3 linked regions of the Notamacropus eugenii genome follow. The protein of the gene in region 1 purifies or fractionates together with the protein of each later gene. This does not show direct contact. Links are inferred from orthologs where the notes say so. Each region holds a gene or a part of one and is shown in the gene's direction. Other genes may lie near its edges.

What was found.
Region 2: the proteins of DIS3L (region 1) and EXOSC3 purify together in Homo sapiens (affinity purification with mass spectrometry; 6 studies listed by BioGRID and IntAct, counting the BioPlex papers as one, with this or other methods). This does not show direct contact. The link is inferred for Notamacropus eugenii from reciprocal best matches to the Homo sapiens genes DIS3L and EXOSC3.
Region 3: the proteins of DIS3L (region 1) and EXOSC2 purify together in Homo sapiens (affinity purification with mass spectrometry; 5 studies listed by BioGRID and IntAct, with this or other methods). This does not show direct contact. The link is inferred for Notamacropus eugenii from reciprocal best matches to the Homo sapiens genes DIS3L and EXOSC2.

Annotation. Positions count from the first base shown.
Region 1 is NC_092872.1:128,842,748-128,853,612, forward strand, and holds the start of DIS3L (DIS3-like exonuclease 1), read left to right. Parts: upstream 1-6,524; 5' UTR 6,525-6,679; coding exon 6,680-6,818; intron 6,819-7,077; exon of another isoform or gene 7,078-7,141; intron 7,142-8,732; coding exon 8,733-8,886; intron 8,887-10,865. UniProt on the Homo sapiens protein: Catalytic component of the RNA exosome complex which has 3'->5' exoribonuclease activity and participates in a multitude of cellular RNA processing and degradation events.
Region 2 is NC_092874.1:316,498,411-316,509,111, forward strand, and holds the start of EXOSC3 (exosome complex component RRP40), read left to right. Parts: upstream 1-5,719; 5' UTR 5,720-5,787; coding exon 5,788-6,096; intron 6,097-8,891; coding exon 8,892-9,041; intron 9,042-10,701. Other genes in the region: uncharacterized protein, read right to left, coding at 2,818-2,859. UniProt on the Homo sapiens protein: Non-catalytic component of the RNA exosome complex which has 3'->5' exoribonuclease activity and participates in a multitude of cellular RNA processing and degradation events.
Region 3 is NC_092872.1:482,370,898-482,381,602, forward strand, and holds the start of EXOSC2 (exosome complex component RRP4), read left to right. Parts: upstream 1-5,723; 5' UTR 5,724-5,813; coding exon 5,814-5,935; intron 5,936-6,309; coding exon 6,310-6,411; intron 6,412-7,401; coding exon 7,402-7,447; intron 7,448-8,322; coding exon 8,323-8,412; intron 8,413-10,705. UniProt on the Homo sapiens protein: Non-catalytic component of the RNA exosome complex which has 3'->5' exoribonuclease activity and participates in a multitude of cellular RNA processing and degradation events.

The DNA of each region.
Region 1 (10,865 bases):
CCAACAGTGACTAACACCACAGTTCTATTTAGTGATTGAACATCTATTAGCTTTCAGAAAGAGATATTCACTTCAAAGATATAGCAAGCATTCAAATACAAACATTTCTTCCTAAGCCTCTGGGGAGAACTGGCTCAGATTTAGCTCAGTTCCTAAATGACATTGCCCCCACCAAGTCTATATCCAAATGTAGTGTTGCTGAGTGCTTGCTGGGTTGGATCCCAAAGATCACTTCTAAAGGTCACTCCATGCTCCTTGGGCCCTTAATACTAGCAAGATTTCTACAAAACCTGGTGTGGACTCAGACTCCTGGAATGCTGAACCAAAGGTAGCTCCCAGACCTCCCAAAGCTCATTCTCCTGACCTTTTAAACCCCTTTAAGCTGTAGTTACTGATCCCTTCATCTAAGAGAGAAAATGAACACAGAACAGAGGATCAGCTGTAGCCCATTTTCATGAGGCCACATGTCAGCCTTAGCGGGGGAAGAAGATGATAGCCTCTTTCTTTATAACATTGTCTCACTAGACACTATGGGGAAGGAGTCAGACCAAGAGCAGAGATACATGAAGAGAGAGCAGCCAAAAAGAATGCTAATCTACTGTTTTCAGTCTGGTAAAAGTTGGCAAAGTTCGTATCCATTAAGTAATGGATTTTAGGATATTTTCAATATTTGCACATAGTTAGAAATGATAGCAATCTTCAGTGGACGGTATAAATTGTGGTCTCAGAGAAGTAGTTTCCTTCTTATCCCCTGGACAAGGGAAAAAAGAAAGTTATTTTCTTCTCCTAACTGGGATCCCTCAAGCTGATTAAGGAGCATAATTTAAAATTTTGAAAATGAACCAAATGCTTTCAGTTCTCTCAGGTCTGGAGAGATGGGGCCTCAAAGGCCAAAAAAGTAAATAGAGCTAGAACCTCATGGTTCAATAAAAAGCATGTAAGCTCCAAACTCTTTTACATTCTAGAAAGAATATTTATTAATGGCACCTCTTAAAATGTCAGATTTAATAAAAAATACAGAAAGAAAAGTCTTTTTTAAATGTTACAAAGAGTTTCTCCATCATGCCTTTGACCCTATTTGAATTCTTCACAAAAACTAGTGGTTTATACTAGCATTCTCTCAGATTTTATCACAGTAACCATCTCTCAATGAGACTAGCCTATAATGATGATATTTTAAACTTAAAATTAATATCTTTTAAGACATGTCTGGGACTCCCGTCATCTGACACTGTGGATCTGCAAAGGTTTCTTTCTCTGAATGAGACAATTCTCCCTCATTCTTGGTGGGCGTGGGAACAGTGAGACAAGGGGTGTGAATCCCACGACATTTTTTTTCTGTGCATATTGCTTTAAATACAAAGAATGGTGGGCTTGAGTCTTTGCAATGTCTTCCTGACTATGTTCTGGGTACAAAATAAATCAATTCTGCTTAAAATGAACATAATGTGGGTTGGTGTAGGTAAGGTTTTGTTTTAACTTTTCCATCAGCCTGGACTAACCAAGCTAATTTGGCTTACATGGACATCATTACCTCCAACTTCACATTGGTATGGTCTCCTGATGAATGCATTGGCACTCTGATTTCTTCTTAAGGCCATTATTTCTGCTGCTTTACATTTCAGATACTCCAACAAATGTGATTGTCTTAAACATATTTTATGAAGTTCAAAATGTTTATTTTAAATCAAATTATGAATTGTACAGGCTGTTTCCTTAGGCATGAAGCTGTTGGGGTAGAATCTTGCATATGTATCAAATTCAGAACTTTCAATATTTACTCCTTCCTTTACATATAGAGACAGCAAAATTATTTAAAGGAATGACATTATTTGATTAAAATTGAACTAATTTGTGAAAATATCCCTCCTGTTTTTTTGCATTGCAGCCCTCCGAGGTTTCCAGGAAGTCCTCTGTTCTTTTCATTACAGCATGCACTTCTTTGTAAGCCACAAAGACAAGAATTCGGGGACTAAAACACAATATCCATCTTTTCCATTTCTAATCTCTCCATTATCTTTCCATTACAAGGTTTTAAATGCATTAGCTGTCATTATAAGATAAGAAATGGAATGCAGGTTTCCAGACAGCTATATTCAGTTATAAAAAACTAAAATGAGTTAAGAAATTCTGTGCAGTATAATCATCAAATTAAATTTAACTATGCATAGTGACCATGTCATAAGACTGACAAATGAAAACTTAATTCTGTCAAATAACACCAGAACAGAAAATGTAAGTAAAAAATAGAGATGCTCATATTTTAAATAATTTTCAGTGGCTAATCACACAACTGCATTTTCCCTGCATGGTAACATGTTTCAAGAGCATAAGACCCCACCCCTCTCACCATTTTCCTTAAATTCAATGAATGAAGTTTAGTTCTCATTAATTTTGAAGCAGCAATTCTTCTGAGCTTCTTGTCAAAAGTCCCAGTCAAAATATGAAAGGTTTCTGAAAAAAAAAAAACAAAAAACAACTGAAAGCATTTTGATAGGAATAACCTACAAGCCTGAATGCCTTCTCCACATGAGGCAGTAGGAGAGTTAGCAATATAACCTTAAAAAAAATGAAATAGCATCCCTTAGTGGTGTAGAAAGAAATTACGTTATAGAAAGAAAAAAGTAAACCGCACAATAAAAATCCTGCTGAGATACACAATTTACACACAGAAAATAATTCTTTTTCTCTTTTAACATACCCGCCCCCCCCCCAAAAAAAAACCCTCTTAAGCAGAACATTTTATGGTAATCACTGCAAAGTGGATTACGGGGATTCATAGTGCTTTCAGAAAGCAAAAAGGGAATTATTATATCTGTAACAAAAAGTGAAAATCAAGGATTAACATCTTTTAATGTATATGAAATTAAATTACCCTTAATACAACAGAGTCATCTTGGCAACCATTTCTCTTTAAGCGAATTTTCTACTGAGTTGGGACACAAATGAAAATAACCTTGTTTTCGGATAAATTTGGTTATTTTAGCTATTTACATGGCATTTAGTCACTGACTAGTTGGTGGTAATACCCAACAAATTCTGAAACACTAGCTAGAGTAACTGAGGCCCAAGAAAGTTAGAGCAGCCATATAGTGTGTGCTATAGAACCCTTACTTGAATTCTGTAGGTCTTAATTATCAGTACTTACAACATCCTGCTGCTGGACTTCTTACAAAGATAATATTTTCATGCCTCCCTTCTTTTGTGCCTCTATACCCTTGGCTACCTGTTCAAAATATCTTTGGCTTGGGCATATCATCAACTTTGAAAAATTTTCGAGAAAATTCCACAAGCTTCTTCAATAACCCATTCAAGCATTGGTACCACCTGAGAAAAGTGTTTTTCCAAATGTGCATCAGTGATATTTGGCCCAGCAGGTTCCCAAACAGGGGTTCTTAACATAGGATTTATGTGAATTGAAAAGAAAATCTTATAACTGTATTTCAATAGTTTCCTTTATAGTTCTCTATTTTATTTTATGTGTTTAAAACCATTATTCTGAGAAGGGGTGAATATGTTTATTTGACTACCAAAGGGATCCATGAAACACTCAAAAAAATAATAAGAATCTCCATTCTAAAAGAAGCTGCCATACTTGGAAGCCTAACTCTTTTCCTCCCACAGATTCCTTTCTTAGAATCAAGATAGAAGAGTGGAATTGCCAAGGGCTGAGCTAAATGAGGATACCCAGAGATCCAGTCAAAATGGTTTAGCAGTCTTCAGCTATGCAAAGGGTTACTGAGGGCTGGAACGTTCTACCATCTACTATTAATTGATTTACAATCAAGAATACAAGAAATATATAATACAAGGATACAAGAAATTGTGAGTTAAAGATTGTCAATTCTGGTATCCCATGAAGATGGCAAATTTAATGTAAATAAACCTAAGTCCCTCAGGAGCAATAAGTTCTATGCCTACCCTTTGAAAAACTGCACATCTGGTCACCACTCATGGTATCACCCTTCATCAGTAGAAATTCAGAAGTTGTTGTTTGCTGATGGCTGCACTCTTGAAACACATGCAAGTAAGCATGCAAATGATTAACAACTCTTTGCAGAATAAGCACACTGATGCTAAGCCTGAAGAAGAAGCAAGTCATGCACCAGGAGAACCCATTCCTAGTCAATTATTTTCATCAGCAATATGGAGTGAAAAGCTGTCACTGAATTTGCTATCCTGGCATCACGCTGTCCAACGATACACTAACTGACAATGAAGTCAAAAACTGAAAATTGAATCAAGATGACCAGCCAGTATGTCTTTTGTAGGGGCAGACAGATCATGTATTGACATGGCGCCATGCTACGGATCAGACTAAAAATGTGCAGAGTGGCAAACATGTCCAACCTCTACAGGACTATAGAACTTAGATCTATCACAGAATTCAAAATTGGTTTCTTGAGTAGATTAATAATATGTAAACTATATTTAACATACAACAAGACTGGAACTTGTGCTAAAATGCTGCTTGAGAGTGAACTGAAGTGAAGGTGATTATAAGCTGGGACAACAAAAGACACCTTGTGGTTCAGCTTTAAGCAGACATAAAGGCATGAAATGCTGACTATACAGACAGACCAGTCTGAAACTAAGGGAGCAGAGACAACAGGGTAGTTTATTTTAAGAAAAGCATTGGGCAATCTTTGAGAAAAAAAAAGAAAGGGCAATATTTTCCATTTTAGATTGTAAATTCTTAGAAAGCAGGGATTTTCCTTTAACATACTCTGCATAGTGCTTATTGGTGCAATGAATGCACAGATGCTTAAGAAGTACTTAAAATTAATGAAGTCGTTTCTCTTTACCTAAAATCATGAACAAAGTATTTTGTACTATGTTCTATCACCAAAAAAAGATGATGAAACATAAAGAAGCATAAAACTACATATAATACTACAAATTATTTTGTTAGGTTTTGTCTTGTCTTTTTATTCATTTTTGCCTCTCCTCGTATGCCTAGTGTTTAATAAAATGCCTATTGACTTGACTTAGTGATTTCAGGTACAAGGAAACTCCAATGATTTTGTTAATCAATCAACAAGAAATTATTACACACCTACAAAAGTACTATACTAAGTGCTGTGGATACAAACACAAATAAATAAATAATCCCTGTATATCAGAGAAACAAAATGTGTGTGCATATATGTTGTATATATATAGTGTGCATATATATATTATATATGTATGTGTACCTTTTTACTTACAGAATAAGTATGAACAGAATTCAAAATAAATACAAAGTTGCATTTATTTTGGAGGCCACTAGAAATTAGAGGAATTATAATAATAGCTAGTATTCATATAGTTCTTTAAAGTTTGCTATATGGTGTATATTATCTCATTTGGTCTTCACAGCCATCCAAAGACTGTCTTATCTGAAATTTCGATCAACTCCATGCCTGAAAGAATTCTACATATAGTAAGATTTTAATAAATGTTTGTTGAATCAATAAATGAATGGAATCCACTGATGATGAAATACTACCAAGCACATCATCTAAGCTCCAAACCCTTAAGGTCTTTTTAAAAATTAATGTAGTATCACCCTCACATGTAAACATCTTGCGCTAGGACAAAGTAGGTGCATAGGCACACATGCTACCTTACTATGCACCCTTTTTCACAAACAGGGCACCACTGAGCAGCCCTTCCGTTATTCCAAGCACAATGAGGGAAGGATCTTCCCCAGTTGCCTAGTGACAAAGCTCAGTTTAGATTCGTGGTGATGGGAGGTTTCAGGTAAGGTGTCCCTTAGAGTCCTACGGTGTATTCTTTGCAGATCCTAGCTACAAAGTTACAGACACGAGAAACTCCATCCCCTCTGTCTCCCAAGCCTGGAACGTTCTGAACTCCCACCCCTGGCTTCTTTCCAAGTCTCTGCTACAGTATCACCTTCTGCCAGAAGTCTTTCATGATCTCCGCAAGTGTGTGTATATAGATAGTCTATATATGTGTATGTATGGAGAAGGCAGGCTGTACATATATACACACATGTATATGTTTATACGGAGAACAGACTATACGGACACACACACACATACATCTGCGTGTACGTAGCTCTTCTAACCTGGTCCCCCCCATTAGAATGGGGGCTCCTTTAGGGAAGGGATTGTTTTTGTCTTTGCTTCTCCAGGGCTTAGCGCAGTGCCTGGTACACAGCTGGTGCTTAATACATGTTTGCTGCCTGACTTCAAGTGGAAAGGAAACAGCTGTGGTAATTAACAGCCACAGTAATTAACCTGCTTTCCCAAGAAGTGGGAGTCTTTCATGTATTTTCTCCTCCCCTCCTTTGTTTCCATAATCTCTTCTTCAGGCATGGGTAGAGTTTTCTCGCCCTGCCCTCCGAGCGCGCACACACACACCCTCTCTCTCACTGCAGGGAGGGTAAACTGAGGCACGGAGCTCCCTCGGGGTCGGCCAGTGACAGAGCTCTGACTCGGACCCCGACTCCGCACGGAGGGAGTTTCTCCGCGAGGCCCCGAGATCGAGGAGGGGGCGGCCGTTGGGCCCCGCAGCGGGGCGGCCCCGGCAGCTGCAGCAGCCCCAGAGGCAGCTCCGGCCTCGGGCCGGGGGGAGGCGCCCCGCCGCGCTCAGGGCCCGGCCTCCAGAGGACGGAAGGGGGCGGGCTCCACGCCGGGGCCTCGCCTCTTCCCGCTGCCGGGCCTTTGCCGCCGCCATGCTGCAGAAGCGGGAGAAGGTGCTGCACCTGAGGACGTTCCAGGGCCGCACTGTGCGCATCGTGAGGGAGCACTACCTGCGGCCCAGCGTGCCCTGCAACAGCCCGCTGTGCCCGCAGCCCGCCCGCTGCCGTAACGGTCAGAGCCGGGGAGGGAGCAGGAAGGGAGCTGGCGGGGGCGGGGGCGTAAACGCGGCCGAGGTTTCCGGCCCTCCCGCAGCTGTGGCGCCCCCTGCAGGGAGGGCCGAGGCGAGGCGTCCAGACGGGGTCTGCGCCTCCTCGTGGCGGCGGGGACGCGGGATGGCCCTGCGGCCTACGCCCGGCCAGGGCTAGGTGGTAAACACTGGGCGTGAGTCCCCGCCTCCCCCCCGGGGGCGGGGCTAGAGCCTGGGCCTGGGCGGGCCTGCGAACTGCGGCCTCCCCCGACTGCCTTCCGATGGGAACGTAGACCCCGGTTTGTGGGTAACGAGGCGTCCTCTGGAGGCGGGGTGGGGGGCGGCGGGAAGCAGGCATGGCCACACTGCGCCTGCGCGCCTGCGGTCGGCGCCCCTGCAGCGGGGGAGGTGGGGGGTTTCTGCTGCTTACCGCGCTCTAGAAAGTTTGCCCTGTATTTCAGCGTAAACGGGGTGGGGCTTTGGGGGTAACTTTTAAATATTTTTTATACGTATATATTATATGTAACGTATTATATCTAGAAACATCAGTCTGAGGCGCAAAAAGATTAGGACCCCCGCTCGTAGAGCTCATTCCCATCTTCTATCTCTCTCCCTTCCCCCTCCCGGCCGTCCTGCCCCCCACTTTCCCTCGGCCTTGTACTGGGGACTGGAGGTACACGTTGCTGCCTCATTAGAAGGTCGTCCTCCCCCCCTCCTCCCGTGTCTGGCCCGCAGTGAGGGCTTAATGAGAGCTTGTTGATTGATTGATCTCAAGTTGATTGATCTGCTTTGGGTTCCAGATTCGTGTTCTTAAAGATGATTCTTGTTTTGGAGCTTAGCACCCTGTAGTCTTATGAAAGGCGATGGCCTGTTGTCCGCCCCCTTAGGAACCGCCTGGCTCCAATGATGACTGGGCTGGAGACCATAGGAGAAGTGCCCTTGCTTTCTAAAGGCTCAGGGACCATTCCTGACTGGGGCAGGGTCTCCCAGAGCAGGCGAAAGGGTGGATTCTAATGGAAAAGTCCCATGGCCACCTGGATGCCCCCTTCCTCATGCTGTGCATGGATCCATACCTTTACCCACCATCATGGTGGCAGGAGACTTGCAGAAGCCATGGTAACCCTTGCTGTTAGTTCTTCCTGAAAAAACTTTGGCCTTTGGTGTGCTCTGCAGGGTCTTCTTTAAGACCACCCTCCAGTTCATACTGCTGAGTTTAATAATAGGTTTTAGAGTTGAAGGAACCTCCAGACTGAGGCCCAGAGGTGTTAAGTAACCAGCCCATATTATCATTCCTCTAGTGGAAGGTGGGTTGCGGAAGTCCTGTTTGGAATCCTTAACTTCAGGGCTTGGTGGAACATGAATGGTCAAAGTTGGGTAGACCCATGAGCTGGATGGAAATTGTATCATTCATTGCCATCCATAATAGTTTATTCAATTAACACCTGCGTTATAGATGACTAGCATTACTCTCTGAAACATAAGGAGAACTCCTGGCTTGAAATTATATTTAGAAATACATGATTCTCTGGAAATTGCCTTTTTCACTCAGTCTTCAGATATGAGTTGTTAGGCAGTAATGAGTTAACCCAGAATATCTAAGTAATCCTAAAAATGTGGTTTTTTTTTTCAGAAAATCCATCAACTTCCCCCAGTGCAGCTCTGGCACCATAATAAACCATGTTATGCTTTTATTTATCCCACCTTTAGAAAAATGAAGCTGCTAAGTTTACCTGGTCTTTGGCCCTCTACCAAAGTAGATCTGTCTTGTCTTTTAAAAACCATGCAAGGTAGTTAAGGTTGTAAGTTATTTTGTACGCTGGGACTCTGCGACATGGCAATGGTAATAAAGCAGCCTTGGAACTGTTGTCTCATCTCTTAAATTTTGCATTATGTTCCAGATGGGAAACTTTTGTCCAGTGATGTGACTCATTATGTTATCCCTGACTGGAAAGTTGTTCAAGATTACCTTGAGATTCTTGAGTTTCCTGAGCTGAAAGGTATTATTTTCATGCAAACAGCCTGTCAAGCTGTACAGCATCAAAGAGGACGAAGGTATATCTGTTTTGCATAATTTTTACTTCTGATTTGAACTTATTAAATAAGAAAGGTCCTGGAGGGGAAAGGGCAGGATAAGAAATCTATTATTTTGGAATAGGGAAAAGGAATTTTGGAACTAATTTGTTATTTACTTTTTTTTAATTTACTTGGAAATAATCTGTTATTTCTTCCTTTAATAAGGGATTATGGAAGGCATTTTTGAAGTTGTTCTATTTTATGGTTTTTGTTTTAGCACATGATCGAAGCATATTCGTTTGGCTCCGTAGCTCATATCCCAGTAGGTTGGTGTTTTAAGGTTACAACCAGCTCAACCTTCACATTATTTTGTTTTCTCTCTTGTGGAAGAAAGCTGATTGGTGATTTCTTTTTAGAGTCTTTAGCACGTTAATCTTGATATATACGTACATGTATACATAGAACTCTGTACATGTATGTGTATATACATATCCATTCTTTCAGAAACTTGCAGCAATTTATTGAAGGAAAACAAGTTCAGTATTTGCTGTAAAATCTATGCTTCTCCATTGCGAGTGCTTACAGATCATACCATCTAATAATTTACTGAAGGAGGCCTAAAATAAACTCATGTTTTGTTCTAGAGTCTCACCATAGCTGCCATCCACAATAATTGTATTTGCCAAACAAAGGCCTTCTGACAAAAGCCAGTCTCTTTCCTTATAAAAATATTTAAATGAAAAAAGTAATTGGCAGACTTTTAAAACAGAAATGCTTTAACAATGTTTTTGCTTCATTTAATGTTTTAAGAGGATTCTGTGATTGAACTCGGAGACCATACTTTGTTGAGAGATAGCATATTAGAGTTATATATCCAACCTAATACCTAAAATCATTTAAATACAGGAGTTATTTATTCTTATTAAACATTGACGTTTCCTCATGACTTGACAGTGAAGGGTGTAAAGTGTTTTTATTTGTATATTAAAATGATAAATTGCCTTTACTACATGTCCTGTTCATAAAAATGTGCATTAAGTAGATTGTGTGCAGGTTTTTCAGATAGAATATTATTAAATGAGTTTGAAGATGATTTTGTTCTGACACTAAGATAGAAATGTTTTTACATTTCCAAGTTTAAATGCAGCTCCAGGTGCCATATTTCACTTTCTCCAACAAAAATCAATTTGTTGTGATCATTTGGATTGCTGACACAGTGCAGAACCTGATAATCTTTTGTTTTTTAAAAATATTTTTATTTTGAAGGATTTTTAAAGCAATACCAAATCCTCCACTTGTAAAGTGATGAGTTTTAAATATAGTTTTCTCCGAAACGTTTCTAAACAAATCTGTCTGTTGAAAAGCTGTTTTGGTTTTCCAGTGCTTGATGTAGTTGTGAATTGTCTTATAATTAGAATTTATGCAGTAGTCCTGTAGATACACCATGGTCACATCGTAGTCAGTAGTCCATATTGAGCCCCTCCTGTGGTACCATTTTTGGGGAGGTATAGAAGGAAGATGTGGACCTTACTTTAGTGACCTTAAAATTCGAGTTGGGAAATGGTGGCTGGGAAGCTCCTAGCTCGTTCTCCTTGTGACTTGGTTAGTGTCTTCTCCTTCGATCCAGTCCAGAGGCTTTCTACTGCCTCCAGGATAAAATAGAAACTCCTCTGTTGAACTTTTAAAGCTCTACACCACCTGGCCCCCTGTTTTCCAGCCTCAGTAGACATCACTCATCTCTTACACGTTGTGATCCAACCAAAGTAGACTTTCTCTTTGTTCTTCCCTCCCAGCGCGCCCTGTCTTTGCTTCTGCACTGGCTGCTCCCCACCTGGAGTGCTTTCGGCCCCTCTTTATCATAGCCTCATAACAACCTTTTCTTCCTTTAAATACTCAACTCCAGTACTGTCTTCTGCATGATACTTTTCCTGATGCCGTCCTCCTCAGCTACTAGTGCCCAACCTCCCAAACTGCCTCATGTTAACTCGTGTGTGTGTGTGTGTGTGTGTGTTTAACTT
Region 2 (10,701 bases), on another chromosome or scaffold:
AGTTCGAATGCTCAGAGTGAACTGAAGGAAGCAGTTACGGGAAGCAGAGGACAACGCTGAGTTTTTGTGTTTTAGTTATACATGGATAAAACAGGGAATCACAGAAGGGATAAACTTTTGCTTGGAGGGCAAATGGAAAAAAGGTTACTGAAGACAGAAGGAAGAGAAGGCATAACTACTCAAGCCTTATTTCAGTTGTTTTCCTGGCCAAGGAGAATGGACCTTTGCACTGAAAACGACAGAACAAAAATGATTAACAGGGATTTCAAACCCAGGATACAGTAAGTGAAGAGCATAGTCACTCGACATATTTTTATCACTTGGCCCAGACGAACTATATTTTCCTGCACTAAAAGAAGTGGTAGATAGATAGGATTGCTAAGTGAACAATATTTGAAAGATCATGGAGGGAAAAAGGAGAGAGAACACAATACTAGAGAGAAATGTCTACATTTTTAAAAAAATTAAAAGACTAGAGTCAGCAAACTATAAGCCAGTGAATTTAACTTTGTTTCTTGGGAAAATTATCAAAGAGATGGTTGGCGGACATCTAGAAAGAGTCCCCCAGGAATCTATGCTTGGCCCTGTGCTGTTTTCATATTTTTATTTGCAGATGACACAAAGCTAGTTAACAGTTAACAAACAAAATGAGTCAGGTTCCCAAAAGATCTTGATGGGGAGAGCACTGGCCTTAATCTAATATACTAAAATCCAACAGAAATAAATGCAAGATTTATTGTACATTTGGGTACAAAAATTCAAGTTCACAAGTAAAATTATCTGAAAGAGATCCGGGGGTGCTAGTGCACTATAAGCTCAAAATGAATCAGCACTGGGATGTGGCAGCCAACAAAGCGAATGTGATCTTAGACTGCTTGAAGAGGGTCTAAACTTCCAGGAATAGAGGTTATAGTCCACTGTCACCATTTCCCTTTCTGGATGTCCAACAACAATCTCTTCAATAATCCAGTCTAGAATTTTCCTAGGTATCCAAGTCAAGGTCAACTTAATCAGCATTTATTCTTTTCACTGTGATTTGATCAATATCAGATTTTATCAAATTATGATTTTATTAATGAATTAAACAGAACAGGGTTAAGTTTGAGGTGATTATACCACCAATTATATTGCCATTACTAAAGCCAGGTGGTGAAGTGGATAAAGGGGCATGTGTAATGGGAGTTCAAACTCTTCCCCGGCAGTTGAGAGGCCTTTGGTGGGACTATTCAGGGTGACTGAATCTGTATGAAGACCCACACCTCTTGATGATTGCAAAGGATGCACTGGATCAGGAGATATATTGGAAAAGCGTATATATACACATACACACATATGTATATACTCTGAGGTGAGGTTCTACTTTGGGGCTTAGTTTTTGGAAGAAGGTTCTTGTGCCCCCCACTTTGAAAACCCGGATGTCTGTGCTTCTCTCTCTCTCTCTGGTAACATGTACGTATTGCCTACGGTCAGTTAGAAGCTCTGTCTGTTGGTATATGTAATTAAAGATTGTTTACTCCTTCTTCAAGTTGCTTTCCTTTTAGAAAAGCAGATCTAAGACCTCCTGGGTGCCAAAATGCTTGCTGTTACAGCCTGGAGTCAGGAAGTTCAAATATGACTTCAGACAATTACTAGCTGTATGATCCTGGGTCAGTCACTGTCTGCCTTCATTTCTTCCTCTGTAAAATGAGCTGGAGAAAGAAATGGTAAACCACCCCAGTTATCTTTGTCAAGAAAATCCTAAATAAGGTCACTGAAAAAAATAACCCAACAACATCATGTTCTACTTGCCATTTTAACTTCTTAATCTAGGACTAGGTTTACTGTCCTGGACTTGGCATGGGAATTCTGACAACTGGTAAAGGGAAATGCCCACGAGGAAATACCCTCTTACCGATGCAAACTGCCACTTGATTTGCTATTTTTGATCTTAAAACCTTATCTGGGGGCACTTCCCCAAGGTCTCAGGATCAGGCTCGAGCCTAAGCCTTCCTGCCCCCTTACTCAGCTCTCTGCTCCCTACACCAGACTGCCTCTCCATAACTATGCACAATAAAAGGTGGTCTGGAGTTAAGCAGGGACACGAGTTCCAAGGTGACCTCAGACACTTAACTGTGTAACCTTAGGCAGGTCATTTCACCATCTGTGGAAGTAGCTGCTGCTACATTGTTACAGAGTGGCTGTAACAGAACGAGCTCAAAAGGCTGCGGTGACAATCCGATGAGATATTTACAAAGCTCCCGGAGCAAAGCTGGCGCAACAAGACCGCTTAAGCCCCGCCCCCTGTAAACAAACAAACAATTTAACTGAATTGTAACCTTTACCATCTGTGGGCAGACATTTCTCTGAGACCCAGCTTCCTCTAAAATTTGATCCCTCACATTTGTAACGGCGTTAAGACTCGGGACACCACCCTGAAAAAGCAAGGGGGCGATCACCGGCTCCTCCCACCAGCGACCTGAGACCCTGGGGGGTCACCTCCAGCCTCGTCCATACCACAGATAAACTGAGTCCGAGGAAGGGAAGGCGGGCCGGCCACACGGCCACGAGGCCGCCGCCGCCCGAGGGCCGGAGACCCCTAGAACTACCGTGAGCGCCCTGAAGGGGAGACTGTAGCCAGGGACGCGCATGTGAGCGCCCGCGTGTGTGCCGCGTGTGCGTGTGTGATGGGCGCGGAAGGCACCAGCACCACCCAGGCTCCCGGGGCGGGGGCCGGGGCCATGGCCGTGACCGAGGCACGCGCGGCCGGGTCGGAGGGCGCCCCCCCACCCCGCGAGGCGCAGCGTCCGGCCTCCCGCGGCCCCGGGCCCCGCAACTCACCGACGCCAGCCCCGGGCGCAGAAGGCGGAGGAGGAGGCCCATGGCGCAGCGCCCCGGCTCGGCTCCGCTCCCGCCGCCGGACCCTCGCCTCCCGAGCCTACGTCCGGGCGCGGGGAGAGGACGAGTGAGGCTGCGCCCGCGGGACTCGCCCCTTCGGCCCCTCTCTGCCCTCCCCGGGAAGGGTCTGCCCACGGAGGGAGGGGCGGCGCAATTCCGCCCACGTCTCGCCCGCCCCTTCCTCTCTCCTCCCCTCCTATTTCTTCTCTTACTTTCTCTCCCCCTCCCTTCCAGCCTTTTTCTACCCGCGTCTCTCTTCCCTTTTTCTCCCTGGCACGCTTCCACTTTCCCTGCTCTCTCTGTCTCTGTCTTTGTCTCTCCCTGTCTCTCTCTGTCTCTCTGTCTCTCTCTTTCTCTCTCTCTCTCTGTCTCTGTCTCTCTCTGTCTCTCTGTCTCTGTCTCTCTGTCTCTGTCTCTCTCTGTCTCTGTCTCTCTCTGTCTCTGTCTCTCTCTGTCTCTCTCTCTCTCTCTCTCCTTCCATCTGTGTTCCTTTCCCAACCTGGAGCCCTAGGAATTCCAAACCCAGGCTGAGGGAAAGGAAGGGATCTGACCCTGACCCCAACCGTGACCGTGCAGCCGCTAGGACCCATCAGTGCCATGGGTGATACAGAGATGAGCAGCCTGCTTCTAGGAAGCGACTGCATTTTGTATTCTCTTTAGGAAATGCCCCATCCACCCTCATCTGTCATCACCCGATGGGGATGCAGAAGTAGCCTAAGAGGATTCCTGAAAACTCTTCCTTTCCTTTAGCTACAGATCTTTTTCAGGAGTGAATTCTCTGGGAATTTTGGAAGTCCAGCTCAGAGATGTTTCAGGCAGGAGAAGCATCGGAAAGCTGGCCTTAGAGCCAGAAATGGTTAAGTACTAGGATGCACATAGTGCTTTAAGGTTGGCAAAACACTTCCCCATTTACAAAGAGGAATTTTGAGAAAGATTGCCCATGGGCACACAGCTAGGGAGGGTCTGAGGCACAATTTAAATTCAGGATTTTGCTGATTCTGAGTCTACCCCTCTATCCCTTGGGCTACCTAGCTGAAAAATACAAAAGGTTAATTAGTTATGAGCCAGCCTGTGTGATCATGGACAAGTCACTTACTCTCACTACTCCAAGCAGCTCTAAAAACATGTTACAGATGATTGATAGAGCAAGGGAAATTGATTTTAAAAAACTATATAAAATTTCCCCCAATCCATCTTTTCTCCTAATTTTAGCCATTTTTTATTTTGTTTGTGCTTTTTAATTTTATTAAATTTGAATAATTTGTGTCTATAAATGAAATATGTGGGGGTTTTTTTAGGCCGGAATGTGAGTTCAAATGTGGCCTTACACACTTGCTAGCTTTGCTTAAGGGTATGAATAATTAAAAAAAATTAAACTTTCTCACTTTCTGATGCCTTGTTTTGCTGTATCGTCTGTGAAGTGTGTATGTGTGTGTGTGTGGTTGTATGTCTCAAAAGGTGGGACTTTTTCAAAAGGTCTAGGATTCTGGGTTTCTGAGAATACAGTACTATTACTGTATAATCCTTGACTAAAAAACTAGCAATTTATAGATAAATTATTTCATAGTCCAATCTAATGAGTTTTCCTTTCAGGAGACAGCTTTTTGCTGATGAGACACAGTAGTAGAGAGGCAAGAACCTAGGATTTGGAATTAGAAACTCGGGGTGTGCATCATAACTGAGCTATTTATTATTGGAGTGCCATTGAGGCAAATCACTTTCCCTTTCTGGGCCTCAGTCCCTTCTGTAAAATACTAAAATGTTTTAGTTGGAAAGATGGGAAACTGTAGGAATGAACTGTTGCATGGGACTTTTTTCCCCTTTGTGGATAGGAAGTCTCACTTGGAAAGAAGCAAAGGTAGAGAAAGAGAAGAATTATATTCAGAATTGACCTTGATGTAAAACAAAATGAAACAAAATGAGATAAAATGAGAGTTGGAGTAGACATATAATCTAGTCATTAGATGATCTCAGAAGGCCCATTTAAGATAAGTCCTATGACCCCATAAAAAAACCCTTGAGAACTCTGAGAAAAGTCCTACTTAGAGAGGAGGGACGTGGGGTACCGGGGTAATCGGGGTAAAAGCTCGGGATCCAGCACTGAGAGGATGACAATCTGGTCTTGGACTTGGGTAGGCGGGAGCTGCCCAGGGAGGCGGGGCCAGGGAGAAAGGGGGCGGGGTCTAGGAGCAGTCCGGTGTACAGTTGAGAGGGGCGGGGCCAGAATGGAACCACAGGGGAAGAGGCGGGTCTGGAGTGGGTGGGGCTAGGACTGGGCGTGGAGGTTCGGTGCTCCGCCCCCTCCACTGTCCGGAGTAGAGAAGGGCTTCTGGGGGAAAGTCCCGGACTGCTCCTTAGTTCATGCAGGACAGTGCCACCACGAAGGCGGAAGGTTGCTCCTCCTCTTCTGTCCCGAGGGTGGGAGGAGCTAAGTCGGAGTGGAAGGGTGGGCCATGGCGGGGGGGGGGGGGGGGGGGGCAGCAGTTCTTTATCACGTGGAATGGACACAGCAGAAAGAGGTGGGGCCTTAGGGGCGGGTGCCTTCACTCACGTGGGCTGGAACTACTGTGCAAGGGGCGGGGTCTGGGAGGGCTCCAGGGTCCAGGTAAGGTAGGGGCGGAGCCCTGGCGCATGGGCCTTGTGGGAAGGAACAGTTCTCTAGTCACGTGGAATGGAACCACAGTGGGGGGGCGGGGCCGGAGCCGTTCCTCCTTCCCGCGGGGTGTGGCGCCTCGGCGTAAAGGCGGGGCGGTGAAGAGCTGTGCCAGGCCGCTCCTCCTCACGTGACGTGTACCCTGAGCGGAAGGGGCGGGGCCACCTGTGGCGGATGTGGGGTTGCTCTGCTCCGGGGCTAGAGACGTCGGGTCCTGCAGGGGTCGCTGTGGAAGGCCCCGCAGCGGCAGCGGCTGCTCGATGGCCGCCCCGCCGATCCCCGGCTCGGGGCCGCGGGTGGCGCGGACCGTGCTGGGGCAGGTGGTCCTGCCCGGGGAGGAGCTGCTGCTGCCCGAGTCGGCGGGGCCGGGCACGGAGGGCTCCGTGGAGCAGACGCTGCGCTTGGGGTCGGTCGTGCGGGCCCGCGCCCGCGTGGTGTGCGGCCCGGGCCTGCGGCGCTGCGGAGACCGCCTGCTGGTCACCAAGTGCGGGCGGCTCCGCCACAGGGAGCCCGGCGGAGGCGGCGGAGGGGGCGGCGGCGTGTACTGGGTGGACTCCCAGCAGAAACGGGTAAGTGGAGGAGGCCCGGCCCGGCCCCGGCCTCGAACACGCGGAGACGGCCCCAAGCGGGATCCCGGCCTCCTGGCCGGTACATGGGAGAGGCGAACTCGCTCCTCCCCGGAGGGCTCCCCTAGCACAAGCAGAGCCCGGCTTTAATCTTGGGGCTCGGCCTCAGCCTCCCCATTTCCCTTGGCCGGCGCCCCTGCTCTTAGACGTCTTCCCCTTGCTCTGCTCTCCGGGCTCCGGCTGCGCTTCCCCTTCCCTGGCACGTGCCTCCGCACCAGCCAGGGGTGAACGCTGCCCTCCCGAAGGCCTCTCTGCCAGTCACTGCCCCGAGCCTGGCTGGGGCGTACTGGAAGGGGCAAATGTGCATGTCTAGTCCTGTGACTTCTCCACCTAAAACCTTAGCGTCTGTGGATTACTGAGTAAAATTCAGATTTCCTAGGCCAGCAGTTAAGAGTCGTTCTAAAGTTTGATGCCGCCCTGCTGTTCAGGTAATAATTGCTCACACACATTCTCTTGAGGGCCCTTCCAGTCCGTATTGTGCCATTAGACTCAGGCCCCGGAGGAGAGAGTGAGGCTGGTGACTTGGCACATTCCTCCCTCGCCTACATCCAATTCACGAACAAGCCATGGCACCATCTTCCTGACGTCATTCATAGTCCTCTTCCAGAACAACCTCCGAGTAGTCTGAGCAGCCCTGCTGGGCACCCAACTGGCCAGTTCCATTTGGGTGGTGCAGCTCCTCCATGCACATGGGGTGTCACATCCTTACCTGCAGATGCTCTGCCCCAAAGAATGTAAATTTTGATGACAAACCTAGCAAGATACCTTGGGGTTTACTGGCTGGATTCCTTTCTGAAAGACCATGATTGACCAACAATAGGGTCCGTCCCAAGCCCCACTTAGTGGTCATCTTTTTGACCTGGGTGGCCCAGAGTCAACATAAATTGTAATTGTTTCTGTTTGGGCCAGAAACTCTGAGGGTGTTTCCCTCCCAGATTGGGTTTTGTTTTTTTTAATTAGGAGAAAGGGGCCATTTTTTACCTGGCCTTAATCACTGGTTGGGGGCATTGTCTCAGTCAAACTGAGACCTACTAAAGACCTTAGCTTAAAAAGGCCAAGGTATCCCTCTGCATCCAGGGCCACCTCCAGTCTTCCTCATCTATATCCTGGTGAAGCTGGTGACTTCGCTCAGCCCTCCCTCACTTAAAGCCAGTTCACTTGCAAGTCACGGCATCACCTTGCTGATGTCCAAAAGAGAGGATAAACGACAACCACATGTTCTCCACTGTCCCTCCTTTGTCAGGGCCTGAAATGTGACCTTTACCCATCACCTCCCCCACCCCTGAAAGTTGGGTTTACTGCTACTTCCTGCATACAGTCTTTCTTAATCTATTATATGTTCCTTGAAGTCAGGGGTTATTTAATTTTTGTCTCAGTATCTCGTGCCCAGCACAGTGTATGTCACAAATACTTACTAAGGGATTTTCTGCAGCACCTCCATCACCCAATTGTTAATTGTCTCCTCTCTCCATGAGGTAGCATTTTGCTTATAACTTAAACAAATACAATTCACTTCAAGTATTTAAATGCTTACTATATACAAGCCATTATGGTAGGTTCAAAAAATAAAGAGATAAAAGCCACAAAATTCTTGTGCTCACTGTGGGAAAGGACAAATAATGTGTTCATAGATGAAGCATAGTAATAGATTCCAATAAGATTATGGAATGATGGCTGTAAAGGAGAGACAGAGGTAAACATTTGAGAAGGAGGAGAATATTCAGAATGGATTGCTGATGGGGGACACAAGAAGCAAGATGACCTGTTAGGGGTTTACAGTAGTCAAGGAGAGAGGTGCCATGAGTGATACTCTTCTAGGGTAAACTCCATGAGGACAGAGATGGGTTTTATCTGTCCTTTGTATCTCTCTCAGTGCCTACGTGGTAGGTCAGTGTTTGGTGAATTGCACTTGGTAAGTGCTTACTATGCACTGTGTGGAGTGGAATGGTATATGGACAGTGTTAGCCAAGTAGCCCAAATTTCTACTCTGAAAATATTTTTCTAAAATGCCAGAAAAATAAACATAACTGGATATTTATATGGAGAAATGTATAACTCAGTGGATAAATGTTATCTGGATAAAATTAATGGATAAATAGCTCAATTTGAGATAGTTTGAAGCTAAACTTAATTACTGAGAAGAAATTTATCACTGGGATTATCTTATTTTGATTTGTACCTTTTCTGTATATTTGGAATTTATAATTCAGCAAATAGTCGTTTGTTTACTGTGTGCAAGGCACTGGACTGAGTGCTGAGTGATCTCATTGGTACAGACGTTCTCTCTGAAGACAGCACCCTGTCCCTGCCCGTCTGTTCTGTGCAGTTGTTGTCCATGACTTGTCTCCTAAGTTTGCCTGTATATCCAAAGGTCAAAAACCTCTACAAAACAGTGTCTGCCCTCAAACAGGTTATATTTTTCAGCATATGATATACATACATACATATATATATATATATATATATATATATATATATATATATATATATATATATATATATATATATATTTAGATTTTTCCTTTCAAAGAGGTCTCATTTAGGGATGTGGCCTGTACTTGAGCATTGCCTATATTTAGATTAACATATTTATAAATATTGATACTTGAATGTTAAAATATTATACAGCCTTTTAAAAGCAGAAATGTAAAAGTCTGTTGGCAGGGTTTGCTGGTGAAATGTCTTTTTCAATTTTCAGAAGTCTGTATGCTTGTGCTTTTGTGACTTTTCTCTTGCAGTATGTCCCGGTTAAAGGAGACCATGTGATAGGCATTGTGACTGCTAAATCTGGTGACTTGTTCAAGGTTGATGTTGGAGGAAGTGAACCAGCTTCTCTGTCTTATTTGGCATTCGAAGGAGCAACCAAAAGAAACAGACCAAACGTACAGGTAACACTGAGTCTGTTATTTTTATGTTAAGTGAAGTCATATCATGAGATGAAATTAGACATCTGTGAAGCGTTTAGCACATTGCCAGAGTAGTACATTGTGTCCCACTGGGGACCCGTCTAGCCAGATCCAGTGGGGTAACTCAGCTCCTTCCTTCCTCTCCTTCTGTCTACATAGCAGGTACTCTACTCAAAGAAATCTAAATTTTGATCCCTGAAGCCTGGCAGGTTATCTTGGGGTTTACTGGCTCAGTTTCTTGTTAAGGACGGTGCCTTAAACCCAATTTACTTTGGCTCTCATTGGTTGGCCAACAGTAAGTCCCAGCCCATACCCTACCTGGTGGTCATTGTCTGGGCCCTGATTGACTCAGAGTAAAGGTAAATATCAATTTGTTTCTGTTTTAGCCAGAAACCACGACACTCTCTCTGCTAGGTTAGGGTTTTTGGTTTGGGTTTGGTTTTTTTTTTTTTTTTTGAACTAAGTAAAAGAGGCCATTCTTTGTGTCATTTCTTACCTAGCCTTAATCACTGAATGGGGTTGCCTCAGTCAAACTGAGACCTGTTACGGACCTTAGCATTATGGAGAAATTAGATGCATAAAGGTCTCCCACTGCATCCACGGCCATCTCCAGTTCCTGATAGTATCTTGCCACTGGGCTCAGATGCTTCAGGAGGAGAAAATGAGACTGGTGACTTTGCACAGCCCTTCCTCCATTAAATCTAATTCACTTGCGAGTCATGACATCACCTTTCTGATGCCATGGTTCTCTTCCAGAAGGAAAGACAGACAACATTTTGCCTACTATATAGTAGATCTATAATAAATGCTGGTTCCCTTACCTTGTCCCCTCTTCCATTATCTGAAAGAACTGTGTTGTGAAGTCAGTGTCACCTCTACCCTGTGATTTCACTCAGATATACAGATAGTGTATTTAGAACTAAGACTTATTTAATTAGCTTCATTCTGATGCTCTTCTTTTTCCTCATTTGTTTCAGCTCCTCAGCTAGGCAAGGCAGTGTTGATAAGTTAAGTGTTGAGTAGAAGCGGCTACCAGAAATATCTCCCTAAATGAGCACACCGCTCAAGTAGCATAGGCCAAGTTCATTCCTTCCATGCTGTTACTGTGACAACAATAAATAGGCATTTGTTCTTTGGTAAGGAATTTTCATGAAGTAGGCCATTTTGTGATTAGAATGGGAGATTGAAACCCTGATGCAAAAATTATTTTTCTCTGCGCATGTTTGCCGCCCTGAAATTTACATGTAGTAGGGGTCTTCCTCAGCCTAAATTGCAAATCTGCCAGAAAGGTGAGGATGAAAGATAACTGAGAATTCTCTGGGACATTTTATATCCAGTTGAACATAAGTTTGAAGGCAGGAATTGTTTTTCGTTTTGCCTTTGTATCCTAGTGTCTATGAGAGGAAATTACAGAACTGGCCTTGGAGCCTGGAAGACCTCGGTTCCAATCCTATCTCTGACACACTGGGATTATGTTCCTGATCAAATCACTTAACTTTACGATGTTCCAGGCAACTCTGTAAAATTGTAGATTGCAAAGAAAGGACCAAACTGCATTGCTAGAGGGAGTTCCCTTATGCGGTAATTCTGGATGTCACTGACATTACAGGTCTAGTTCCTATCTCTGTTTTACAGACTTGGC
Region 3 (10,705 bases), about 350 Mb from region 1:
CAGGGTTGTTGTGAGGATCAAATGAAATAACCCAAGTAAAATGCTTTGAAACTCTTAAAGGAAATATAAATGCTAGCTATTATTGCTCAGAGGAGGGAAATTAGGGCGACAAAAATCTTGAGGTTTATGTCTTATGTATATCCAATAAAGGAACGAGAGATATTCAGGTTTAAGTAGACTTTGGGGCTACATGACTACTTTTTTCAAGTACAGAATGATCAGATTGATCTAAGAGGGCCAGACCTTTCAGTATACACACACATTCCCCACCTAGTTTCAGTCCAAGGGGTCATGTTTGTGTGGAAACAGGGAAAGTAGTTCTCCAGCCATGCCTGACCAAGGCTCTGCTGGTATGGTTTGATGATGGAAAGTTTTCTAATCAGCTGCAGAACTGAATGTGAATACGAAAGGGACAATCCACTCATCATTCATTCTCTTTCCTTTGCAGTCTCTAGGAGGGAGGTCCATTTTGAATTGCCCCCAAGAACCCAGCTGGGGGGAGGTTGGATGTCCTTTCTCTTATTCTGCTATGGTGCTTGTGAAAATATGGCACCTCTATTTTTGCTCTTTTCTCATCTAAGGCAAACTCAGATGTTCAGGAAATGACCTTGTGAGCATAGGAGATCTAGAAGTTTTAGAGGTAGTAGTGTGTATGTTCGTCCTTCATTGCCAAAGAAGACCATGCCATCAGAGAAATAATGACATGACTTTCACTTGACTTTTGTTTTTGAGTGAGGGAGGGCTGTGCAGGTCAACAGCCTCACTTCTCCTCCAGAGCCATCTGAATCCAGTGATCAGATATTCATCAGGATGACTAGAGATGACCTAGAATGAGGCAATTGGGGTTAAGTGACTTGCCCAAGGTCACACAACCAGTGAGTGTCAAGTGTCTGAGGTGAGATTTGAACTCAGGTCCTCCTGACTCCTGCACTGGTGCTCTATCCACTGTACCACCTAGCTGCCCCAGAGGCAGTAGTAGGCCCTGGAGCAATAGTGGTCCAAGGCCAAAGAGGTAGGTATCTGCAGATAGGTCTGGAAAAACAGTCACTAGAACAGAGGAGAAGTTTTAGGGATTGTGACCCTTTGTAACAGAGAGGGATGCTGACTATGAATTATAGCGATGCACTGATTCTCTAAGATGAGAAAAAGAAAGAGCAACATCCAGGGAGAACTTCATGAGGACTTCATGGAGGGAGAAAAGGACTTTCAGGGCCAAGAGTGGGGAGGTACCCTTTTGCCACAAGTGTTCTCTGTCTATACTTTGCTTCACTGCCATTATTTAAGCCCATTGCCTTTAAATTTGTCAGCTCTCCCCATAGGGGTAACGTTTATAAACAAGGAGTGAGTATCCCTAGTTTCTTTAGGAGTGGGGAAAGTAGAATGTTTAGTACCAACTATTCTTTACCTTTCAGTAAATCCCTTTTTCTAAAAACTAATGGTGGCAACTGGCTAATTATTATCACACAGGTGGGCACACAGAAACTATAGTACTAGAAACCCCCTAGCATTAGGACTACCCTGAAAACCCTCAGGGGAGAAGTGGTCAGCCCAGCTCTGAGGACTTCATGTAAGGAAAAACTTTCTAACAGTTAGAACAATTTAACAGTGGAACATGGTATTAAGAGGTAGTAAGGTTTTCCTCGTGGGAAGTCTTCAAGGAAGGGCTGAGTGGCAACATGGGTATATTGTCAGAGGGATCCCTGTCTTTTTGGCCACGTTTGGGTTGGACTTAACGTCCCCCTATTCCCATCCTACACCTTCCCAGATCTCTTCAACCTTTGAGATTATGAGATTCTGATTATATGATTTTAAAATCACTACCAGTCCTATCATAAGGATAACAAGATATAGAAAAATAAAATCATATTTTAGTTAGAAGGATCCTAAAATGGTCATCCAGTCCAACATTCTGTTTTACTTAAGGTTAACTGGCTTGCTCAGTCACGTATTAGTGACTGAGGCAGTGCGACAGACTCTATATATGCATCCATATCCTCTGACTTCAAATGCAAAGTTCTTTCCCCAGTACCACACTGTCTCTTAGAAGAGATTACGAAAGCACTTTGAAAACTAAAGAGACATAAAATGTTTCATTTATTTTAAAATATATTTTATTTATATCATTAAATATTTCCCAATAACATGTAAAAATTTTTAACATACTTTAAAAAAAATTTTGAGTTCCAAATTCTCTCCTTCTCTCTCCTCCTCCCCCACTGCTTGAGAAGGCAAGAAATATGATATTGCGTATATGTGTGAAGTTGTGAAGACATATTTCCATATTAGTCATGTTGCAAAAGAATAAATGCACACACAAAACAAGAAAAATAAATTAAGAAAAATTTGCTTCAAACTGCCAGTAGAGTCTGTCAGCTGTATGAATTTGATTCTCTCTTTTAAAGAATTATTTTGTTTAGTGATCTTTTGAACCTTCTTTTCCATTTGGCTAATTCTGCTTTTTAAAGCCTCCTTCTCCTCATTGGCTTTTTGGACCTCTTTTTTCAATTGAGTTATCCTCTTTTTAAGGGTGTTATTTTCCTCAGCAATTTTTTTTGGTTCTCCTTTAGCAGGCTGCTGACATGCTTTTCAAGCTCTTGTATGGCCTGAGCCCATTTCATATTCATTTTGGAGGTACTGGAGGCAGAGGCCTTGACTTCCTCTGACAGTATGCCTTGTTCTTCCTCATCTGAAAGGATGGAAGGAGACACCTGTTCTCCAAGAAAGTAACCTTCTATGGTCTTATTTTTTCCCCTTTTTTGGGCATTTTCCCAGCCAGTTACTTGACTTCTGAATCCTTTGTCAAGAGGAGGGAGTCTGTCAGCTCTCTCTGAAAGTGGACAACATTTTTCACGATGGGTCTTTTGGAGTTGTCTTGTATCATTTTCTTGATCAGAGTACTAAGTCTTTCACAGTTAACCATTCTTACAATTGAGAAAGGAATCAGAATTTTCATATTAATGGACATGATAATGTGGAATGAATATACTAATAATTTAATTTTCTCAAGAGTTGCCTCTCCAGCTAGTGAATCAGACTCATAATGCAGTCAAACTTTGACAATGCTCACAGTTACCAACATCCTTGTGCCTACACACCTGAAATGAGGCTAATCAAAAATTATAGAGCCTGTTCTGGTTACAGAATTCTGGTCCTGTGATCCACCAAGTAATGACCTCCTAAAGACTCAAGTAATATTGCTCCCGCAGAACTCCAGAATTGTTTATTGTTTGTAATCCATCTTCCCCCCTCCCTTCCCATTGTGAATTATGTATATAATCTCTGTCTTCACTTAAGCAAGGTGGAATTCTGATTAGGGGAATTCCCAATTTGCAAATCTGTTCCTTATAGTGAAACTAATTAATTAAATAGCTACCTGATTACTGGCACTTTGTCTCTGGCCTGCTATTTCATCCTTCTCAGGTTAGAGACTGACTCAGTAAAGTCCTGTTAACACAATATTTCTGTCACTGTATATACTGTTCTCCTGGTTCTGTTCACTTCACTTTGCATCAGTTCATAGAAGTCTTCCCAGATTTTCCTGAAACCATCCTGCTTATCATACAATAATATTCCATCACAATCATGTACCACAATTTGTTCAGCCATTCCTCAATTGATGGGTATCCTATAGTGTGGCAGAAACTAGACATAGACCATAGACCAATGCCTGACACCATACACAAGGATAAAGTTCAAATAGGTATATGATCTAGATATAAAGATTGATACTATAAACAAATTAGTGGAACAAGGAATACTGTATCAGATTTATGGAGAAGGGAAAAATTTTTGACTAAACAAGAGATACAAAGCATTATGAAGTGCAAAATAGATAATTTTGATTACATTAAACTGAAAAGTTTTTGTACAACCAAACCCAAGGCAATCAAGATTAGGAGGGAAACAGAAAACTGGGAAAGACCTTTTGCAACTAGTGTCTGTGATAAAGGCCTCATTTCTAAATTACATAAAGAATTGAGCCAAATGTACAAGAATAAAAGTCATTCCCCAATTGATGAATGGTCAAAGGATATGAACAGGCAGTTTTCAGAGGAAGAAATTAAAACTATCTATACTCATATGAAAAAACACTCTAAATCACTATTGATTAGAGAAATGCAAATCAAAACAACTCTGAGGTACCACATCACACCTATCAGATTGGTTAACATGACAAAACAGGAAGATGATAAATGTTGGAGAAGATGTGGGAGAGTTGAAACACTAATTCATTGTTGGTGGAGCTGTGAGCTGATCCAACCATTCTGGAGAGCAATTTGGAGCTATGCTCAAAGGGCTACAAAAATGTGCATACTCTTTGACCCAGCAATATCACTTCTATGACTCTATCCCAATGAGATCATAGAAATGGGAAAGGGTCCCACATGTACACAAATATTTATAGGAGCTCTCTTTGTGGGTGCCAAAAACTGGAAATCAAGGGGATGTCCATCAATTGGGGAATGGCTGAATAAATTGTGGTATATGAATGTAATGGAATACTCTTGTGCTGTAAGAAATGATGAACAGGAAGACTTCAGAGAGACCGGGCAAGACTTATATGAACTGATGCAGAGTGAAAGGAGCAGAACCAGGAGAACTTTGTGCACAGCAACAACCACAGTGTGGGAGGAATCTTTCTGGTAGATTCAGTACTTCACTGCAATGCAAGGACTTAAATAATTCCCAATGGTCTCTTAAGGCAAAATGCCTTCCACATCCAGGGAAAGAACTGTGGGATTCGATTGCAGAATGTACCAGATCATTTTCTTTTGTATTATGTTTTGGTTTGTTTTATGATTTCTCCTGTTCATTTTAATTCTTCTATGCAACATGACTATGGTGAAAATATATTTAATAGGAATGGATGTGTAGAACCTATATAAAACTGTATGCTGTCTCAGGGAGGGAGTGAGAAGGTAGAGAAGGAAGAGGGGTAAGGAGGGGAAAAATAGAAGATACATGGAAGTGATTGTAGAACACTGAAAACAAATAAAAGAAAAAAAATTGATAGGTATCCCTCTCTAATTTTCAAATCTTTGCTATCACAAGAAGATGGACTATAAATATTTTTGAACAAATAAGTTCTTTCCCCTTTACTTTAATCTCTTTTTCCTACATATCTAGTATTGCTGGGCCAAAGGGTTTAAAACAGTTCTATAACCTTTTGGGCAGAAGGGTTGGACTAATTCGCAACTCTACTTCTCCACCGTTTGTCATTTTCCCTTTTTGTCATATTAGCCAGTCTGAAAGGTGTGAGCTGGTACCTCAGCGTTGTTTTAATTTGAATTTTTCTATTCAATAGTGATTCAGTCTAGAGCATTTTTTCATGTGGCTATTGATAGTTTTTATTTTTTCTGAAAACTTTCTATTCATATCCTTTGACCATTTATCAATTGGGAAATGAGAATCATAAAATGTTAAGGAATTAATGTTATTCTATTATTTAAAATTTTCCTTCCCCAAGCAATAATTTTAAGCCTACGACGTCTAAGTCCTATCCCCATTAAAGTAGTGTATTGGAGCCAATGTTAACGGCGGGGAAGGGGTCGCCAGTAGTAAATATGGGAACTTCATTTGCTCTTCCCCTTCATTTAAGTACTTGAAACTACTCATAGTCCTTCATTCCAATAAAAAAGATGGCCGTCCAGCAGCGGGTCCCCATTGGTAGCTATCTAAGTAAGTGCCGCCCCTTTTTCGTCCCGCCCCCCACTTTGCTCCGCCCCATTTCATTTTCTGGCTGCCAGTAGTTCTAGAACCGGAAACAGCCTCTCTAGGGTCGGGTGCGCTTGCGCGGCCCTCTGGGCTTCAAGATGGCGATGGAGATTCGGCTTCCTGTGGCTCGCCAGCGGCTACCTGAGAGTTTGGACCGGGACACGCAGAAGCACTTGGTGGTGCCCGGGGACACGATCACTACGGACACCGGCTTCATGCGGTGCGCGGCAGGGGCTCCGGTCAGGCTCCCATAGAGCCTTCCTTAACGTGCTTCTCGGGCTTCCTCTTTCCCTTCCCTAAGACCCGCGTGTTCCCGCCCGCACGAGTCTCTGTCCCCGCGTGTCCTTGCGTATCCCTTTCTTCCGTGGCTTTTCCCTGAGTGCCCTTGCAGGTGCCCACTGTCCTCACACCTGTTCCTGCACGGCCTTGGGTCCTCCCGTCCCTCTTCCCAAGTGTCCGTGCGTCCAGCTGCGTGCCAGGAGCGGCGCTCCACGATGGGGATAAGAAGGTTCCGCAGCCCCTGCCCCCCGGTAGCGCCGAGGGGGAGAGCAGGCGGGGCCCGCGGCCTTGGGTGACGGCTGGGTCTTGTTGCAGGGGCCATGGGACCTACATGGGAGATGAGAAGCTGATAGCCTCGGTGGCCGGCTCCGTGGAGAGGGTGAACAAGCTGATCTGCGTGAAGGCCTTGAAAACGAGGTGTGTCTGCTCCGCCCCGGGGGTGGCCGCGGCGGGGCTTTGGGGGGCCCAGCCTAGGTTGTAAAGCCTACTCTGAAGGTGGGGGAAATGGGGCTAAATCCTTTATTTATTTATTTAAACATCGTTAAGTGCAAGTGATACCGGCAGAAACCTCTGGAGAACGGAGTGGGGATGGACCAGAACTTCGGTTCTTGGTGTAATTCTGGATATTCTTTAACGGCAAACGAGCACTTCTCTTGTCTAGCCATAATTTTCCTTGTTAGGTTACGGAGAGGCTTGACATTTGTGTTAGTTCTAAAGCGGGAGTAAATTCCTCAAGGATTAAACCACACTCATATATCCTTGGTGGTATCGGAAAGTGAAATACTCTCATAGCCTTCAGTGACTTGTAGTCTAGCTGGGCTGAAATGCATAAAAAGCGAAGTGACACATAAGGGTTAAATGAAGCAGTACAAGAGAGGTGGTAAAGAAGTACAGCAACTAATCAGAGTAACAACAAACTTGGATCACTGCATTGAACAGTCATGACTCCAGAAAACTGGTGACAAAGCATGCCCTACATCTCTTGTCAAGAAAGTGATGGGCTAGAAGCACAGGATGAGACCTACATTTTCAAATCTGGCCAGTGCATTGAATTGTTTTGCTTAACTATACTAATTTGTTAAAATGGAGGCTTTCTATTGGTGTTGAGAGTTAGTGGGGATTGATAGAGATGTAGAAAAAAGGAAAAGATCATTGATAGGACATTTTTAAAAAGTGCACAGAAAATAAGTTCCAAATGGGACACCTAGAGCAGTTTTGTTACCAGTATCTTAAATTTAGTATATGCTTGAAAAAACCCAAACTGTTACAGAAGTTTACACTTTCATATACAATCCTTGTTTTTATTGCTTCTCTTCTGAAATATTTGTGTTTGTGGATGATTATTAAATTCATAGAAAAGAAAATTGAAAAATATAAATTTTCTAATGATTGACTTGTCTTTTTCAGGTATAATGGGGAAGTAGGAGACATTGTGGTGGGGAGAATCACAGAGGTAAAGTTTGAATCAAGAAGTTTGTTTTTAAAAAAATTCTGAATTTCACAAGCAAACAGGGAATGTTTCTATGTATATAAAGTAGAACAGAAGACAATTATGTGTGAAACCATAACTTTCTTGTATCCTTTAAAAAAGTATATGAGTCATCATGTTACTTTTAAAGTTGTTTTGCTTATGGAAATAAGTGTAGTCAACACATTTTGCCAAGCCCTAAAATGTACAAGTGCATCTTTTGTCCATCAACCTTCTTCTAGAATTGTGAGTAGTCGTTGATTTGGTTAAAGTTCTTAAAAGACTTTTGAGTTGAATTTATTTTTTAAGCTCCTTTCACTCATCTTCAGTTCATATAAGTCTTTCTAGCTTTCTCTGAAACTGTCACTTTCAACGACTCTTACGGTACAATCAGTCACCACTATTTTCCTGTACTGTAAGCTGTTTGGTGATTCCCCAAATGACTGAATACTCTTTTTGTTTCCAGTTCTTTGCTGCAACAAAGAGAACAGCTATAATTATTTTCATACACATGGATTTTTTTCCTCTTTATTTGATCTCTTTGGTGTGTAGGCTTAGAAGTGTCATTGCTTGATCAAATGGTACAAACACACAGCTTAGTGACTTGGGGCATAGATTCAAATTACTTTTCAGGATGGCTGAACCAATTCGTAGAGATTGTGTGCTTTAAAAAAAGTCAAACCTGTGACACAATTTTTGGTAGAGGACTGTCCTGTATTTTGTAATGCATGATTAGTTAAATTGTAATTTGTGTTGTTTTTGTTGCAGAAATTTAGGCTGTAATATTTGGGGTCACTGACTGTCCAGAGTCTGGATTCATGTAATTTGAGTCAGTAACTCTAGAATTTCTTACTTTGTAGGTTCAACAGAAGCGGTGGAAGGTGGAGACCAATTCCAGGCTGGATTCAGTCTTGCTTCTGTCATCCATGAACCTTCCAGGAGGAGAGCTGGTGAGCGTTTGCAGCTAAATTCCATTTTCCTGCTGTCCAGCCTTAGCTACTAAAGCTTGGGATTTCTACACAGACAGTGGACATCACTGGCATGTTCCATTATTGCTCTAAGAAAATGTAGAGGAAATTTACTGGTAGGATTAAAACATCATTCTTTTAAGTGATGGAGTGCTAAATTTTTTCAACATAGGCAATGTTTATTCTTACTTTAATGTAACATGAAATATTATTTGAAAGGTCCGTATACAACAAGAACTAAGACCCCTGGTTCTGTTCATTTTCCTGCTCCAACTCTGTACTGCTTTACACAGACAGCATGTTTCTGGAAAGCTGTATGTAAATTACATTTTAGCATATAGACTCGTGATGTAAGTTTACTATGAGAAACTTTTTTCTTTTTGGGTGAGGCAATTGGGAACTTACCTAAGGTCACACAGCTAGTAAGTGTCAAGTGTCTGAGGCTGGATTTGGATTCAGGTCTTCCTGACTCCAGGACTGGTGTCTCGCTGCGCCACCTAACTGCCCTGAGAAACTTTCTGTAAAGGAATCGTATACCAAGCCTTTTTAAAAAGTTGTTTAAAATTCCTTCTAATTTTTCTATCTTTATATGACTGGATTTTCATATCTGATTTACTTAAGGTGGTGTACACCTGTACTGTCATGCAGAAGTGAAAATCTTGTTAGCCCTCATGTTTTCCTTTTGGATTTAATGGTTCCTTTGGATGTCATTAACAGTCTTAGGGCAGTGTAGAAGAAAGAGGACAATTACAAAATCTCTAAGAGAGCTCAAAAATCATCAGCTTCATCCTGTATCTGAACAGGAACCCTTTCGACCTCATCCTTGACAAAAGGTCACCTATCCTGTGCTTGAAGACCTCCATTAATGGGGAGCGAACAACTTCCTGAAGCAGCCAGTGCCATTGCAAGACAGCTCCTGTTGTAGGAAGCATGTCCTTCCACTGAGCCTGAGATCTGCCTCTGCAGGTCTATAGTAAGGAGAATGACACCGCCATGCTCAGATAGTGGTTGCATGTGAGATGAGCAGTGTAAGTCCTATTGTCCTCATTTTATAGATTAGAAAACAAGTTTAAGGCGGATAATCTAAACAGGTTGGCATCAGGGATGGAATTCAAACCCATCTCTCCTGTCTGTGACTGCTTCTTTCTGCCACTGTGACATGGCGTCTTTAACCTGGTGCTCCCCTCTGAAGCTAAATAGGACAAATCTAAATCTGTCTTGTGCCAGTCTAGGCAACAAGTATGTATTAAGAGCCTCGTATGTGCCAGGCACTGTGCTAAGTGCTCATAGTGACAGCCCTTTGAAGGCTGCTGATAGGTCTCCTCCCTCAAAGTCTCTTTTCATTCAGCTATTTGCCGGTCATTCAGTCCTTAGATAGTATGGTCTCCAGCCTTTTCAGCTTCCCAGTCTCTCTTCTCTGCCAACTTTGTGTCCTTAAAAATATAGAGCCTCAAACTTAATACGGCAATAATTCAGCACTGATGTAATCAGGAGAGAATATGATGCGATTATTACCTCTTGCCTTTTGGACACTAGACTGCTCACTATTAGTTCATTCCAAAATTAGATTAACTTTTTTGACTGCCATGTCTTACTGTTGACTCACTGAGAGTATAGTCTCCTTAAAACTTCCCATCTGTTGTCTTTGTAGTGTTCTCCCATCCTATACTTATGAATTTTTTGCATAAAATTTTATATTTATCCTTATTAAATTTCCATCTTGAGAGGCAGATTGGTGTAGTGGCTAGTGAAGTGACCTCAGAATCCTGTATTCAAGTCTTAACTCCATTCATCCTGGCTCAGTGTGACCTGCTTTAAGCCTTTCACTTCTCAGTGCCCCATGCTAGTCCTGAGACCAAAAGTTGCAGAAGCAAACACTGATCTTTATGGTTTGGAGGAAGGTTTCCTCCCTTGGAGACCCCTGTACCAACAAACTCAAACATTTGGTTCCCAGCCAAATGAAAACAAAATAAAACAAACATCAACTTACTAGATCTACCCTCTGTGCCCGCCTGGCTAGCTTTCCCTTCTAGCTTTGTGTCATCTGAAAATTGGACATAAGGGGGAGGTGGGAGGAGAGAGAGAGCAGCAGAGAGAGACTGCTGCCTTTGATTGACTGAGGTATGATAGTTCTGCTGTTGTGCTTAAGAAATGAGGTAGGCCCTTATGAATAATATAGTACAGACTTCTTATTTTTTATGGGCGGGTAGACTGGGGCACAGAGAGATAAAGCAAAGGGGTTAGACTATGATTCCTAAGATCCTTCTGGCTGTAA